Drosophila melanogaster: one gene and its partners. The gene in region 1 interacts genetically with each later gene. Each region holds a gene or a part of one and is shown on either strand. Other genes may lie near its edges.

Region 1 (5,514 bases):
GAACGTGAACTACATAACCCCGAAGGGCATTGCCAAGAAAATGGTCAAACGAACAGGAGAAGCTGTGGTCAGTGACTACAAGCGAGACTTACGCAAATCGGAATCTCATTATATTAATGCCGGATCTCTTTATCCGGATCTTCGAGCTTTGAAGGAATAGCGGGAAAACCAAAGGAATTTATCACATGTTATTATTATTATTATTATTATTATTATTATTATTATTATTATTATTATTATTATTATTATTATTATTATATTGAAATATTTATATGCCATTTATAGCTTCTAATTAAAAGAAAAAATATAAATAAATATTATGTTCAATAACACATAAAAAAGATATTTCGAAAGATTTTGCATCAAAACCTTATTTTAGTGTTCAAAAATGCTTTACTTTTGTATTTGTAGATAAACCGAAGCTAGAAAGTATTAAAAAGAAAAATGTTTAATTCACTTTGTATATTTGTATAACCTAAATTCTAGCTTCCTAGCACTCCAACCGCTAAGTATCGGGTATCTTTTGTTTTTAAATTAAAATGTCCTGATTTTTGATACACAACTCAGTCCTCTTTCACTAATTTAAAAGAATTAACAATTTTAGCAAGGAATTTAGTATGAACGTACCATGTAAATTGTGAACAAATGTTGATCTAAGTATCTTTAGATTGACGATCAATAAAAAGCCGTCTAATTTAGCGGCTTTAAATCCTCGTAAGTACTGTCATAGCTTCCGATCGCCTGAAGTTACAGACTTTTGAATCTTATATTGTTGAAAAGGTTATGTTATTTGCATTATTTCCTAACCATTTCCTAAGACTCTATATAGCTATCTTATTCCTTATTCTTTTTTCCTATCTTAAAAAGCACTCTGATCAAGCAAAAACTTTGCGGAACGAGTCAAATTTTATATAAACAAGTTAGGAATTTATATAACGAGCGATGAACCCCACATATATACTTTGGCGAAATATGGTAAAACTTCACGTTTTGTTTTATACACGAGATATAGAATGTGATATTCTATAGGTCCTAAGTGTCATATATCAAGGAGCCCATATATTTAGTTAGGGTTCAGCTCCCGAATCAGAACATAACATAACATGAATGACTATAACCCCTATTGTTGGTAAAACTTTCTCCTAGACTATATTTACATTTACCTTATTATAGTCCTTTTATCCTATTAATATTTATATTAGGAGAATATAGGAATATGTATACTCATATTATTGTCAAAATCATATGAATACATTTTTTTATATATATTTATTAAAAAGAATCCGTACATAATTATATTGTATCTTAGCATCACAGGGTGGAGATTTATTCTTAAGAATTACCAGTCGATATATAAAAAAAGTAAAGTAAATGAATACATTTGTTTTCAAACGTTAGCTCTCGTGCGAGTTCCATTCTGAAAATAGGAATGGGTGTTTAAATCCTCACATGATTAGTGAGAGGTTTGGTTTTATCATTTATATGTTAATTGCGCTGTTATGTTGCTATTGCTGCATTGTATGGATTCATCGCTTCTAAATAAATAAATTTAAAAAAAAGGAATGGGTGTAGCATACTTTCGGGACGCGCAATAAAAAATTATCTTGAAATTGGTTTGGTTTTAAACTCCGCCATATATCATTATATAATATTATATATTATTTGATCCCAAAGCTTCATAGATTGATCCATCAGCGTCTCGTTGATTTTTGTATGCAATACTTTACGTACTAATTCAAAAACCGAGAAAGTTGTTAATTATTTTGAAGGCTTTTCGCCGAACAACGTAACAAAAAACGTAAGAGCGTACAGAGAGACCTTGCCTGCGGACAGATAAAAATACCGCTCGTAGTCCGATTCGACCCACCTCAACTGATTCAGCTGGCCACACTCCGCCCCATTTTTATATCCACAAATTCCTACGCTCGGCAGTACGTTTTGAACTCGGCCAAAAGGAGGTGGCTAAGAGTTTAGCGCGGCACGCAAGCACATAATTCCCCGCTCGGACGTGATTTCGCCCCTTGGTACATGAATACATGTGAATGTGTACATATGTGCGCACGGGAAATAAGGCAGGAAAAGCCCAAAGCCACGGAGTTCGGATCCGAGAGTCTTGCGTTTTGTTTTGCGCAGCACTGCACCTGTGCAGTGTAAAATCGTGAATTCAGTCGAGGTGCAACTGCGGCGCTTGTGCGGTTGAGGGAGGAGAGTTGGCAGAAGTGTGTTTGTGTGTGTATGTGGGTGGGTAGTGCCTTTTATTTCCGATTTTGACGGGAGTCCAATCCACCAAGCTGAGTAGTTGCAATTACGGCGCGGCGGAAAACTGTTTTTCTCGCTCACAAATACATATGTACAACCTGTATAAACAACAACGACTGCCGTAAACAGCCAACTGCGAACGCAGCAACAACAACAGTTCTAACAACAGTACACAAGCAAACACGTTTCCCGTTTTATTTTCTGGCCCGCGTTTATTAGTGTGTGTGGGTGCGCCTCTGTGTGCGAGTGCGTATGTGTGCGTGTGTACGTGTTGCTCGCTCGAGTATAGAAATTTCTAATGATTTTTGGCCTGTTCCCGAAAAGCAGCTCCAAACAACAACAACAACAACTTTAGGACTCTGCAGTGGCTGTTCCAATTGACTCGCCATTCTTTTGAATTGTTTTTATATATGTAATTGAACGCCGAAAAACAACTGTGTAAAAAACAGCATCTGTGCCAGCAACGAACAGAGCTTCGAATTTTGTTGGTAAGTGTTTTCAGCTTCTGCACAATGAATAAAGTAAATAATAAGTGAATAAGTGATTTCAAAATCTGCATTTTGAAACCGTAAAAAGTGTAGAAAAGAAAAGTGTAAAAAGGTAGCCAATTGTCTTAGTAACGTGCTTATTTATGCAATTTGTAACTATTGGCTTGAAGTTTACATAAAAAAAGGTCCATTCGAAAAATGAAGACTAATATCTTTCCTATCTTTCCTAACGGATATCAAAAAGTAGGATTGGGTAAAACACATTTCTCTCGGAGATTTTTCTTCATTGAGCGGATCGCTTAGATCCATTCATCTGACGCAACAGTAGCAGCAAAATAACGTTGTGATGACCAGGACTAGGGATATGACCTCAAGCAGCATTCTGGGACCTGGATCATGTTGGTCAGGCGGAACTTGTAGATGGAGGCTCGTGTTCTGGAGTGAGGCTTGTGAGCTTGAGTTGTACATTCTTGCGATCCATCCACCGATCTGCTGGCTTTCGAATTTGATGTTCGACAAATGTGTCTCAAAAAAATTTCGACACCCTCGACATGCGTTTCTGTGTTGGCTTTGATAGGTTTTTTCCCCAAAACATTTTCACTTTGCATGCCAATTTTCTCACCGCTCAAACTTGCAGCACTCGGGCGCCTAGTCATTTATTTGATATCATCATTATCGTCATTGCCCGAGCTACAGGCTACAGGTTTTTAGCTAATAAGGTAATGGCAAAAAGACGGGGAAAAACGGCTGAATTATAATCGAAAGAAAAAATCCATCATTGGAAAGTTGGTTTAATTGCATTTGCGGAATGCAGCTGTCAGGGTTGCCTAGTTGTGCGACAGGGCGACGCATTTTTCGCCAGCCGCGCACTTGGCTAATATTTCAGGCTTCATGCTTCATTTGCGTTACGAGCGGACCAAGTCGACTTTCGGAGCAAACCCGGCGGCAAGGGCGTTGGACTAGATTGGATCGGGTGGATTGGATGATGAAGGTGATGGGACAGGAGAAAGGTATTTGAAAGGGCTGGAGTGGGTTACACACTCCCCGGCGATATGGAGTTCATCGTCTTCCGAACTTGAGTTTCAAAATCTAAAAAAAAAACATCTCTATGTATGTATGTATGTAAGTACTTGTGTCTCCCAAGTTCTGGTGCCTGGAAAATCGTCAAACAAATATATTTTCAAAACTTAAAAATTTTTTTTTTTTGGTTTTCGAAGGATAGCGTGCACTACCCACAAAAGGAGCAATAAATTCCTCCGGGTGACAGTGGTTGGCAATTTTTTGCAGCAATTGGCAGGGCGAGTGTGGGAGAGAGCGGTGCCGGTCGTTACACGTTACACACTTTTCCGGGGCACTTTCCCAAGCGAATATTATTTTTTCTGTGCCCTCACATGAAAATCAATTCATAATGGTGCAGGTGGGTGGCGGCTCTCATGCTTTTTTTATATTTTTCTCTATAGTGCGATTGAATGCGACAGAAAATAGTATGATCAAGAAATCATATTGTTTACACATCGGTTTTATAAATTTGGTAGTTTAATTTTTATTAGTCCAAACAAATATCGGATTATATTTTTGTTTCAAGTGTACTTTTCACTTCTTTGCACGGTGGGTATTTTCCTCATCATCTGTTTTTCGAAGAGCTTTTCCGCCGCTGCTGTTTTGTTTATGCTTTTCCCATCTCATTGTTTTTGCGCGCCTCGTGCGTCAATTTATGTGAGTTCAGTTTGCCTCAAAGACGGAAGCGGTCTTAATGGTACAAATAGGAGTAGCTGCGGCTCCAGCTAGGAAACCGGAGGAAAAGGGTGCCGTGGAAATTGGCGCCGCCGCAACTGCCCAAATGCCGCGGCTGCTCATAACTTGTTTGCCGAATAATTTCCAAAGTTGCAATTTTCATTTTATGGCCATTTGTCTTCGGTTGTTTTGTCTGCCGGTTGGGGCACATTCGAAGCCCGGTTTTGCTTTTTTTTTTTCGTGGCTCATTTTGTTTTGTAATCAGAATTACATAGAGGGAAACATTTCATTTTCATTTGCTAACTAAGTTGGTCTCTCTTTCGGACCGCTCTGTAATCGGGTAAATGAAATCCAGATCAGTGGCGAAATTACAAATTTGTTCCATTTTGTTCTAAACATACTCGCATTTCGTAAGTTAAAATTTTCATACATTAGTTTCAAAAGCTAGAAATATAATGAGAATCTTAGAAATAAAGCGATTGTCATGTAATTACATGATACTAGAGTACCTTATCCAAATCAGACTGACTTGTTTTAAGCCATCTTGTGCTTGACATACACATGCTCAACTCTTCCCTTTTGGGAGGTGCTATCTGGTATCCGATTTCGTAACCAATTCGGCCCGAGTCCGGCTCTTTCATAACAATAACCAAAAGCACTTGTCACTGCCATCTGCTGCCGGCAACTTCGCCGTGGCCACCCATATGGGCCCAGTTTGGGCTCGTCGCCTACCTGTTTCACCGGGCAGTGTGAGTGATACTTGTGCAATTATTGTACAAACTCATAGTGTCCACTCTTTCAAGCGAGTGTATGTGAGTAGAGTGGTAGAACCCCTGGACTCTCGGACAGGTTGTTCAGAAAAGCGAATGGTTTTGTTCCACGCCGAACGCCTCATGTCTTTCGTCGTCGACGGAAATCTGAAACAATGGAGGTAGAGAAGACGCTCTGAACGCATTGGTGGCACAGCCAGCTTATTAACTTACCTGTTATTTCAACCATTTCCATTTTCTCACGCACGCAGGCCTGGAAAATG
Region 2 (4,756 bases), 4.9 Mb from region 1:
TCTTCGCGGCTTAATGATGCTTGGAAATTAACCAGGGATTACATAAGTAAAATTAAATTAAATCAAAATGGAAATGGAGATGGAAATGGAAATGGCAATGGAAAACGAGCGATGAAAACGAGAAAACAAAAGCGGGCAACAAATTTGATTTTATTAACCTGCGACTGCATTTCAATTTTGGCATTTACAACATTTTCTTGTCGCGTGTGTTGTTTTCGTGCTGATTTATGCCGCTTTTGGGCCAGCCGCGTTTGCAGTGAAAGTTAAGCGGGTTCAACAGCAAAAACAGCTGAAAACAGCAGCCAAAGGTTGTGTCAATGAACTGCGGTGGCGAATTCCCCAATTCCCCCAATTTGGGTTGCCTAATGTCATGGGCATGGGGCTAATCTTTTGTTAACAATTGTGATTTGGTTTATCGATGGAAGGCCTCTCACGTGACTTGGCTATCAAGCAATACCAAATATAGGCAATGACCGACTGAATAGAATGAAATGCCCAACACAAATTATATTGGTAACAATAAATAACATTTGGAGCTACTTGAAATCAGCAAATTCACATGTACAAGCCACTCCAAAAATAGCACCAAATATGTATGTGCCTAAATCACTGATATTAACATTTAGTTTGAAACCCCATTTCTTCCTTGCAACCCCCGATGCTTCTTTTTAGATGAATTCTTAATTATGAGTAAATATATCTTCATGAATACAATTGTTCAAATGCTCTTTGTGAGTACATTCCTTGGAATTCGTTATAAGTGCAACGTAAACAATATTTAAAGAATACCCGGTGGTCGGTCCTATTGGGCATTCTAAGCTGCAGAAGTGTAAAAAGGGTTGGTTTTATTGCTCACCTGGTGTTAATTGTTGCGGCAACAGGTAGTTCTTCTGGTGGAGTAGACTGGTGAACTGGACTGCCGATAAGAAGGAGGCCACGCGCAGAGTTTGAGTTTGGGCAATAGCAATATCGAAATGTAATAAACCAAATACCAGAAAGGCAATTACTCGTTCACTTTCGATTCGATCGGCCGATAAGGAATTTTACAGGGAAAACACGATGTCAACACGTTTAAACAAAGAACAAACGCACTTATTTTCTGTTTGCGCTTAACAAAAAAACAAAAACCCAAATACGAGGATATTTTTTTTTTCGTTTAGTATTTATATCTACTTTGATTCGTTGTTGTTTTTCACGTTTTATGTGTTTGTTTTTGTCCCGCTTGCTCTTTTTTGGGGCGCCTTTCTCGCTCTTGTCCGCTTTAACCGGTTTTTTGGTTTATGTTTATGCTGCTGCTTCTACTGCTGCTGTTGTTGCTGTTTTTGTTTCCCTTGCTCTTGCTTGGCTAAATGGAAAATATGCTGCAATTGCAGCCAGCAAATTGTCGAATGTTTCCAGCCACTTGCTTTGCTACTCGAAATCGATGCCAAAAACTTTAATAACACCCGCGATTGAGGTAAACAAAAGTGTAATAAGCGAAGTGAGGCACACACGCAGGCGCAGAAAAGCAAAAAGGTGAAGAAATATTGGCCGCCAAACAGGTGCAAATGATTCACGATTGTTTTTCCACAATCCACTGTTTATGTTACGATGCTATATCTCCTCAGTTTTCCGCACTGCGACTTGGGGATTTTCTTTGGCTTGGCGAGCGCTTTCCGCGCGGCGATTCGTTTAATTCGAGCGTCTTGTTTGCGATTGAACACCTGTTGCGCGTTCGATTTTCATAAAACTAACTGTGTGACCGTCGGGCGTTAGTTGAAATAAACCATAGCAAGCGTATCCAACCAGGTCTGGCAGCACTGCTGTAAATGTTTAGTTGTAGGCATTTTATAACACTGCACATGAGGCGATTGCACATAAAATATCGAGTTAAGTTTTTCTTCAAGTAGTTTGTTCTTCTGTCTGATGTTAAAAAATTGTTTTTACTTTCGTGCACAGCTCATCCAGCATATGAAATCTAGCTATAGTTTGTCAAACAACATTACTTTAGCAGCAATCGATAGGCGTGCACTTAGATTGAACATTCTATCGCTGCCGTTCCATCACTAATAGACAACATTGTGACGACATTGCTATTTTTGTGTGTTTTGAGTTTCACCACGGCGGAAAATAATGTCGGACCTTTCTTACCTGGACACGTTGGGCAACAAGGAGCTGCTGGCCAAGTGCCTGGAGCACGGCCTGCCCGGTGTTCCCGTGACGGACAGCACCCGCAGCGTCATAATTCGCCGACTAAAGGCCAAAATCACCGGGGTTCCGCTGAACAAAAGCAAATCTGCAAGTAAGAAAGCGATTCCGAGGCGTGAGACCGTACACGGCAGCCAGGTAACGACGCCCACATCGGAGCCAGTGCGTCGTACGCCCGGCAAGAGTGCAGGACGCACTAGCAGCAACAACAACAAGATCAGCGAACAAAGTCGTCGCACAATCGCCTATGGACTAGACAACACCTCGATCTCGGGAAGATCTGTGCAGACTACTACCACGGTGTCGGATATGAGCTCCCAGTCGGAGGACGACGACTCCTACATGGTGGACTCTCCGGTGCCTAATTACTCCAAGGACCAGCAGCCTAGACGTTATGTTTCTCTAGCCAAATCCGGAGTTTTGACCACATCTTACACACGCGAAGTTGACCAGCCGCTGTACGAACAGGAGGATATACCACGCAGCTACACCTACGAAAGACCCCATGTGCCAGCCGCCACTCTTCACGCACTTCCCACATACGAGCCACGCATCGAACCTTCGACATACAGACCCACAGATTTGGGTTTTTCGCGTCCCCTGCTGACTCAAACCAACTTAAACTCAACCAGCTACGAGGAGTCATCTACGTACAATCCAAAACTTTCACCCATTTCGCCAAGAAACACTTTCAGCGGATCCGCTAGGCCTTTTGGTGGCCCAGCACCAGCTCCAGCACCCATTCGCCAGCGACAGAGTGTTCCAGTTAGTGGATCCAATCTGGCCCGTGGTCGCCTGCTCCAGCCGACCACCGCAGTAAACACTCTATATCCACAACTAAATGAATTCTACGATCAGCCGAATGACGCAGGCGAACCCATGGAGACGGAGAGCGAGTCCGAAGTCGAGGAAGTACCCATCAATAGCCATTTCCAAAAGAATCGCTTCTCGCCGCTGGCTAGAAAACCTCTGGTAAGACACCACGATCAGGTTTCGCCTATGGCGCAGTTCCGTGCACTGGCGGTGTCATTGGATCAAAAATATAATCTCAAATTCTACTTAATATTGGTAGTGTCAGTGATGCTGGCCACCATGGTGTACGTGGTATTGACACCCAACGCCTGAGAAGCGTTCATATCGCGGAATACATTTGGTTTTGGTTACTCCACGCATTTCAACCACAGACTACAGCGAAGGAATATTTATGACGACTTTGCACCTTAAGACTACTACTTCAATTCCAAACATGTTCAAAACTAACAAATATTCAACTCAATTTGCCAAGTCTTTAATTGCTTGTTCTCGCATATTGTTTCTTTTTATACATAATTAGAAAAATGTACTACATTATAATTATTGTATTGTATTAAATAAACTAATTAAATGTAAGTGCTCAGTGTGTTTTGTTGCGATTTGTGTTTGTTTGTGGTACTCTCTGACAACGGACCATGGGTTTATTTATGCTTTATGCTACTATTTACACGCCATTTAAATGAACAAAACAGTGTAAAATCGTTAAAGGATATCGGGGATCGCGGCTAGGACATCACAAAGCAAATGGCTGCTGGCTGACTAATTGAAGTGGAACTTGAACTGGAACGGCGACCCGTGTTGGAAGTGTCCAAACGGATGTTCGCCATGGAAGCCGCCACGCTGATTGCTCTCAGGATCTAATGGATCCTCGCCGTTGTCGAATTGACGACGCTTCTCGGGATCCGTGAGAACCTCCTTGGCTGCGGCAATGTCAATAAACTTTTTCTCGGCCACCTTCTTTTCCTCGTCGCGGAAGTTGTCCGGATGCCACTTTTGCGCCGCCTTCCTGTAGGCCTTCACAATCTCCTGTTTGCTGGCGCTACGCTTAACGCCTAATATCTTATAGTAATCCCTGCGCTCTGACTGCTTCTGCAGCTTCTTTGCCCTCTGGATGCCTTCTTTAGCGCGGGTGTTGCTCTCTTCCAGGTCGAGAGCTGCTTGGAAGGAGTGTATGGCATCGTCGTACATTTCGGTGCCCAGCAATGCGTCAGCACGATCACAGTAGACCTGAGCATCCTTCATAATATCCAGTGCCTCCTTGCACTGTTGCAAAGCCTTGCCAAACTGCTCGTCGCCCGTGTAGCAAGTGCAGAGCACCTTGTGTCCCTCATACCGGATCATCGTCTCCTCCGGCTCGTTACGCAGGACTGCCTCTCCGGCGGCTATGCACTCGGCAAAATGCTTCTCCTCACGCGCTTGCTCTGCGTTAACCAGCTGCTTTTCCACCTTTCGTAGTTTCTTGTAGAAGGGGAAGCAGAGCTTGTGTTCCGGGTCGAACTTCAGGCACTCGCGGATCTCTTTTAAGGCATTTGTGGCGTGGCCAATTGTGTACAGCAGCTGTGCAATCTTGTAGTGACCCTCAGTGCTGTCCTGGGTGAGTCGGTTCACCTGTCGCAAGTCAGCAATGGCTAACAGTGGATCATTGATTGCAATGTAGGCATCAGAGCGAGCCTGCCGGAAGGGCACAGCCCACGGCGAGATCTCTAGCAACTGTGTGATCATGGGGATGGCGTTTTGGTGATCACTGTATTGGATC
Region 3 (4,827 bases), on another chromosome or scaffold:
TATCCGTAGTTTCTACTTTATAAGTTCTCCGTGAATGACTACGATGAATTTTTCGGCCAGCAGCCGCACATTAATTTTAATTGTTTCTAAGCATCAATTTGTACTTTAAATATTTATACGCATATGCTGCATATATGATATGATAACGATGGCGAGATATATATGTAATTAAAGGATTATCTATGTGAATGTGGGTGTGTAGTAATTCACTAGCCGCTTCATAGACTCTACACGCGTGATTTATGGCACTTAATGTTCTGTAGCCTAAGCCCAAAAAAAAAGAAAAACTGAATGAGAAAGCTCCCATCTGGCCCTCAAAAATCCCGCTTCCTATCCCAAATACACATTGATTCTTTAGAATTTATAAATAAAACAAGTATTGATTGTAAATATACCTTAAAGCGAGTCTTTTGTATTGTAAATTAGTTCCACTGATTGATTTGGTGGCCCTGCTTAGGTGCTTTGCCACCAAGTTCGTGTTATAAACATTAATACATAATATTGTAATTTACTATATGTGTTGGCAGCATTTGCTGTTAACCGCAAACGAAATGCAAGCGATTTACCGAATAATAGCAATTTGAATTATGTCTTCATGTGTAGATCGGCGAGTGTTTTCCTTACACTCATTTAGGAGTCGCTAGGTTTTTTGACATTCTTAATGCAATTTGTAATCAAATCGTAGGAGGCATTCGACTCACGGATACAAACACACAACATAACAAAACAATTAAATGGGATTTAACAAATTACCATAATGGCTTATGCAACGGTACAAGCAGAGTTTTATACAAATTATGTATTTTAGAGATGGATAAAGCGCATTGAATTGAATTCGAAACAATGAAATTGTATCTAAGCAAAGAATGTAATCCACAAAATGGCTAACTAAAGCTAAATCAAGCATTCAAATATGGGCGGACGAATATGAACAAAACACATAACTAGCGGCTAAGAAATTTCAACAAAATATAGTACACATATTTAAAGTATACAGAAAATTATAAAAAACAAAAACAGCTTTAGATGTGAATAAAAAATATGTAATTAAATCAAAACAGCACTTCTTTTGTTTGGGTCATATACGGGAACTTCTGATGGATTAATAATAAACGTTAATTTTGTTTAGGAATGAAGTCTTTTTTAATATCATTAGTTGCTAACGAATTAATCTAGTTATGTCTATGCACTGCCTAGGGGTATGATGAAGCTCATATAGTCCGCTGTGGCGCCCCAGGCTGTGCGATTTGTCTGGAATATTATTATCCAGGCAGTTAGTACTATCAGCCAGAATAGAGTCCCCACTGCAGAGTATATAACATCTGGAGGAAGGTAGGAAAGAAATTGTGGAATATTAGACTGTATGGCATGGGCATCTATTCATATATTGACTTACATCTCTTTATTTGGCTCTGCTCCGAAAATGGTGGCTTATGGAAGGCCTCCGTGAAAAACCAGCAAACGTTAATGGCCCACACAAAGGGCAGAAATGCAAAGCCAGCTAAGTTCGAGACAAATAGAAAGTAACTTGGTTAAAATCCAATCATTACTCATTGGTAGTAACTCTTACCAAAGAAGTATTTGCGACACAGCTCCAGTTTTCGCGGATTTGGTGCCTTTGAGATGTCCATGATTAATCCTCTTCAAATATGTGGGTGTTTGCTCCTTTGTTTTCGAATCTGTTTCCGGCCCAGGAAAGTTTTTTCGTACTTATATGTAAATTGTATGTAATATGTAAATTGTAATAGCTTATATTTTCACTTCAATTTTTGCTTTTGTTGATTTGTGTTTTAGTTTTTAGTCCATTGGAGCGCAATCGATATCGATAAGTTATCGAAACAGAGGTGAGCTAAACTGCGACTCTTGGATCACTGTTTCATTTGCCAATATCTAACGTAAATAACGATATAATAATATAGCATAGATGTTTTATTACGTTTGCACGATTTTGCGATGTGTGCGATGATTAGTATGAAACATCATTCCTTGTGTTCCCTTTTTTTAAAACGCCAAAACTGTTACAAGTCAAGCCCACTTCAGTGTTGTATATCCCCTAAAACAGAATCATCGATAGGTAATACTGCTGCCATCACTATTTTAGCACACACCGCGTAAAAGCGACGCCGATTTCAATTTTCAACGAATTATTAAAAGTGTGCGAAAAACCATACAATGGCCGATGTGGACGATTTTGATTCTCTGTCCAATGCTGAGTTGCGCGCCAAGATGCTGGCACAGGGGCTGCCCAACATCCCCGTGACGGATAGCAGCCGGAAGGTTCTAGTAAAGCGTCTGCGCGCCTCCATTGGTGGCCAGGCGTCGCCGGCCGCTAGTCCCAAGAAGACCAACAGGCGGGAGACCCTGGCTCCCGCACCTGGTGCACCATCTGCTCCGGCGGCAGCCTCCACGCCGGTGGACAAGCTGGATGGCAACAAGGTGGCGCCCGCCACAAAGGCTCGGCGCACAATTACCGCTGCAGAGGCCAAGGAACCAGTGCGTCGATTACCCGAGGAAGCTATACGCCGACGCCCCGACGAAGCCGACCGCCTACGATCCGAGGAGCCCGTTGCCGCCAGGAAGCCAACAACTGCTCCTGCTGCTCAACCCGTACAGACCCGGCGCACTTCCACCTCCTCGGGGTCTGAAAGGAAAGTAGTGGAGCCCTTGAGGAAGCCAGAAACCATTGTTGAGCAACCGGCTTCCTCGAAGCGCGCTGATCGAGAGGAGAATTATCTTAAGGTCAACTCCCTGATTGTCCTAGAGTCCGATGAAGAAGAGGACGAGCAGCTAGTCCAGGCTGCAGATCTGGTGGAGCAGGAGCACGCGGCCAGACAGAAGACCACGAAGCTCGCAAGCAGCGGCACCACTACGTACGAGTACAAAAGCAAGGTTGTGGAGCCTCCACGCCGACAGGTCTATGAAGCGACAGCAGCTCCCGTGCTGCCGCCATCTGTGCCATCTGCCAGAGCGCAGACCACCAGTTCCACCAGGTCCTATGACTATGCGAGCAACCCAGCACCCGGTCGCTATAGCAGTTTTGTGCGTACTGCAGCCCAAGGCTATGTGACTGCAGAGGCTCCGCCGGTGGCCTCCTACTCATCCAGCTACAAGCGTACCTATGCTAACGAGCTGAGCGACGACACTGATTCCAAGGAAGACCAGTACGAAAGCACATTTGCCAGGAATCTAGCTCGTTTGCGAGCCGAACGGATTGGAGATCGCATCAGCCCGTATTCCAGACGCACTCTGGCCAGTGGAAACGCGGGTAGCGGTTCTCTCGGCTATGAGCCGCGTGCCAGGCGCTCCTTGCGCCCGAATGATAACAGCGTATCCGAGGCCTTTAACCGTTGGTTGAACAGCCTGGAGCAGAAGTATCACATCAAGTCGAAGCTGTTCATTGTACTCCTCGTCCTTTTGTTAATCGGCGTTTATTACATATTCTACTGACCGGCGCATCATTGTTCTTATTTCGAATTTGTAATCTAGTTTGTATACCATGTTGGATATGTTTTGTAAACAAGACTGCCGCCGCGGTCTTTGTATGAATCTTGTTTTGATGTAACTTGAGCTTGAGTTTGACTAGCATTTAAGCTGCGTGTTATCCGTGTTCAAATAAAGCCCACTTGCAGGGAATCTCCACAGTTGAACACTTGCTCTGATGTTTTTTCTCCAAACGGCTTTCGATTCACTGCGCTCCACTTGTGGCAGGTGTTTGCCCAGATTGGATCAAGAAACAGCAGCAAACGACGATCGGCTAATGATGGAAAAGTATCTGGAATGCGTGTACAACACTTGTCGGCATGACTCTGACCAAATGTAGGCGCAATGGCAACCAGGCAAGCGCAGCTCTTATCTGAGCTAAATTGTTCCTGCTGCGATCTGATCTGCGATCCTTGCAATGCCTTGCAATCAGAATTAATAAGAATTTTACAAGTCGGCTCGGCGGCCGGTGTGCGTTATTTTAAAATCCTTGCCCGAGTTGGGCTGTTTAATTTTATTAACTGGAAATCGCACTTGCGCGTATTTCTTTATTTTCTTAAGGAAATTTCGCGCCATATTTAGCGGTAACAAGCGCGACCGGATCCGGGTCTGACTTGCATGCCAGCAATAAGTTATGAAAATTGCAACATCAGTGGCTCGGGGGAAATGCCAGTTGTGCTGGGGATGTTGCTGCCACGGCTGCCACGGCCGCCACGACCGCCAGTCGCCGCCGATGATGAATTCCACAAATGCATGGAACAGCCAGGCGGCAGATTCCTTGAAAAACAAAGCCATGGCCCATACAATATATCGTGTGGCTAATAAATACGCCGCGCATTGCTAGTTGCTCTTAATGAAATTAACTTCCAGGAATTACCTACATGGCAGCAACGATGCAGACGACAACCACGATCACTTTGACGACTGTCCCGAAGTGCAACAAAGCAACTGCAACAGTCGCAGCAACAGTCGCAGCAATTCGAAAAGGCAACAATGGCTGCTTAGGCAAATGCAACAAGCCATCGGCCATGGAAATTAAATGGAAGCCTGCAAAAAGTTTCACGCACTCGACACGTTAATAGAGTCGTAGCACCCAGAGCAACATCAGGTCCACCAGCTGCAGCAGCAGCAGCAGCAAAACCACCAGCACCAACACCCAACACCAGAACCCCGCAGGAACATCAGCGCCCAAGAGCAACACACCCGCGTCCCAGCAGCTTCCCATCTTCGGTTGCCGCCGCTCAAGTGTGACATTCATGGAATATGATTTTATGGCCAAAACCGAAACTTTTGTCTGCATCACGTTCGCGGCTGGAGGGAAAACAAGGAGTGGGCTAGTAAAACAGC

What was found.
Region 2: of smash (region 1) and bocks, changing one enhances a phenotype caused by changing the other (phenotypic enhancement), as found in Drosophila melanogaster (one study listed by BioGRID).
Region 3: of smash (region 1) and Ote, changing one enhances a phenotype caused by changing the other (phenotypic enhancement), as found in Drosophila melanogaster (one study listed by BioGRID).

Annotation. Positions count from the first base shown.
Region 1 is NT_033777.3:4,657,653-4,663,166, forward strand, and holds the start of smash (smallish), read left to right. Parts: upstream 1-1,926; 5' UTR 1,927-2,747; intron 2,748-2,874; exon of another isoform or gene 2,875-3,287; intron 3,288-5,514. Other genes in the region: spartin, read left to right, coding at 1-160.
Region 2 is NT_033777.3:9,588,286-9,593,041, reverse strand, and holds bocks (bocksbeutel), read left to right. Parts: upstream 1-2,039; 5' UTR 2,040-2,112; coding exon 2,113-3,312; 3' UTR 3,313-3,574; downstream 3,575-4,756. Other genes in the region: P58IPK, read right to left, coding at 3,760-4,756. UniProt on the Drosophila melanogaster protein: Inner nuclear membrane protein. May have a role in maintaining the structural integrity of the nuclear lamina. During pupal development, plays essential and redundant functions with the other LEM domain proteins; MAN1 and Ote.
Region 3 is NT_033778.4:18,274,425-18,279,251, reverse strand, and holds Ote (otefin), read left to right. Parts: upstream 1-2,074; 5' UTR 2,075-2,172; coding exon 2,173-3,447; 3' UTR 3,448-3,645; downstream 3,646-4,827. Other genes in the region: pen-2 (presenilin enhancer), read right to left, coding at 1,183-1,322, 1,397-1,501, 1,571-1,631. UniProt on the Drosophila melanogaster protein: Inner nuclear membrane protein. Involved in the attachment of membrane vesicles to chromatin during nuclear assembly, and is probably required for centrosome maturation and cell cycle progression during mitosis.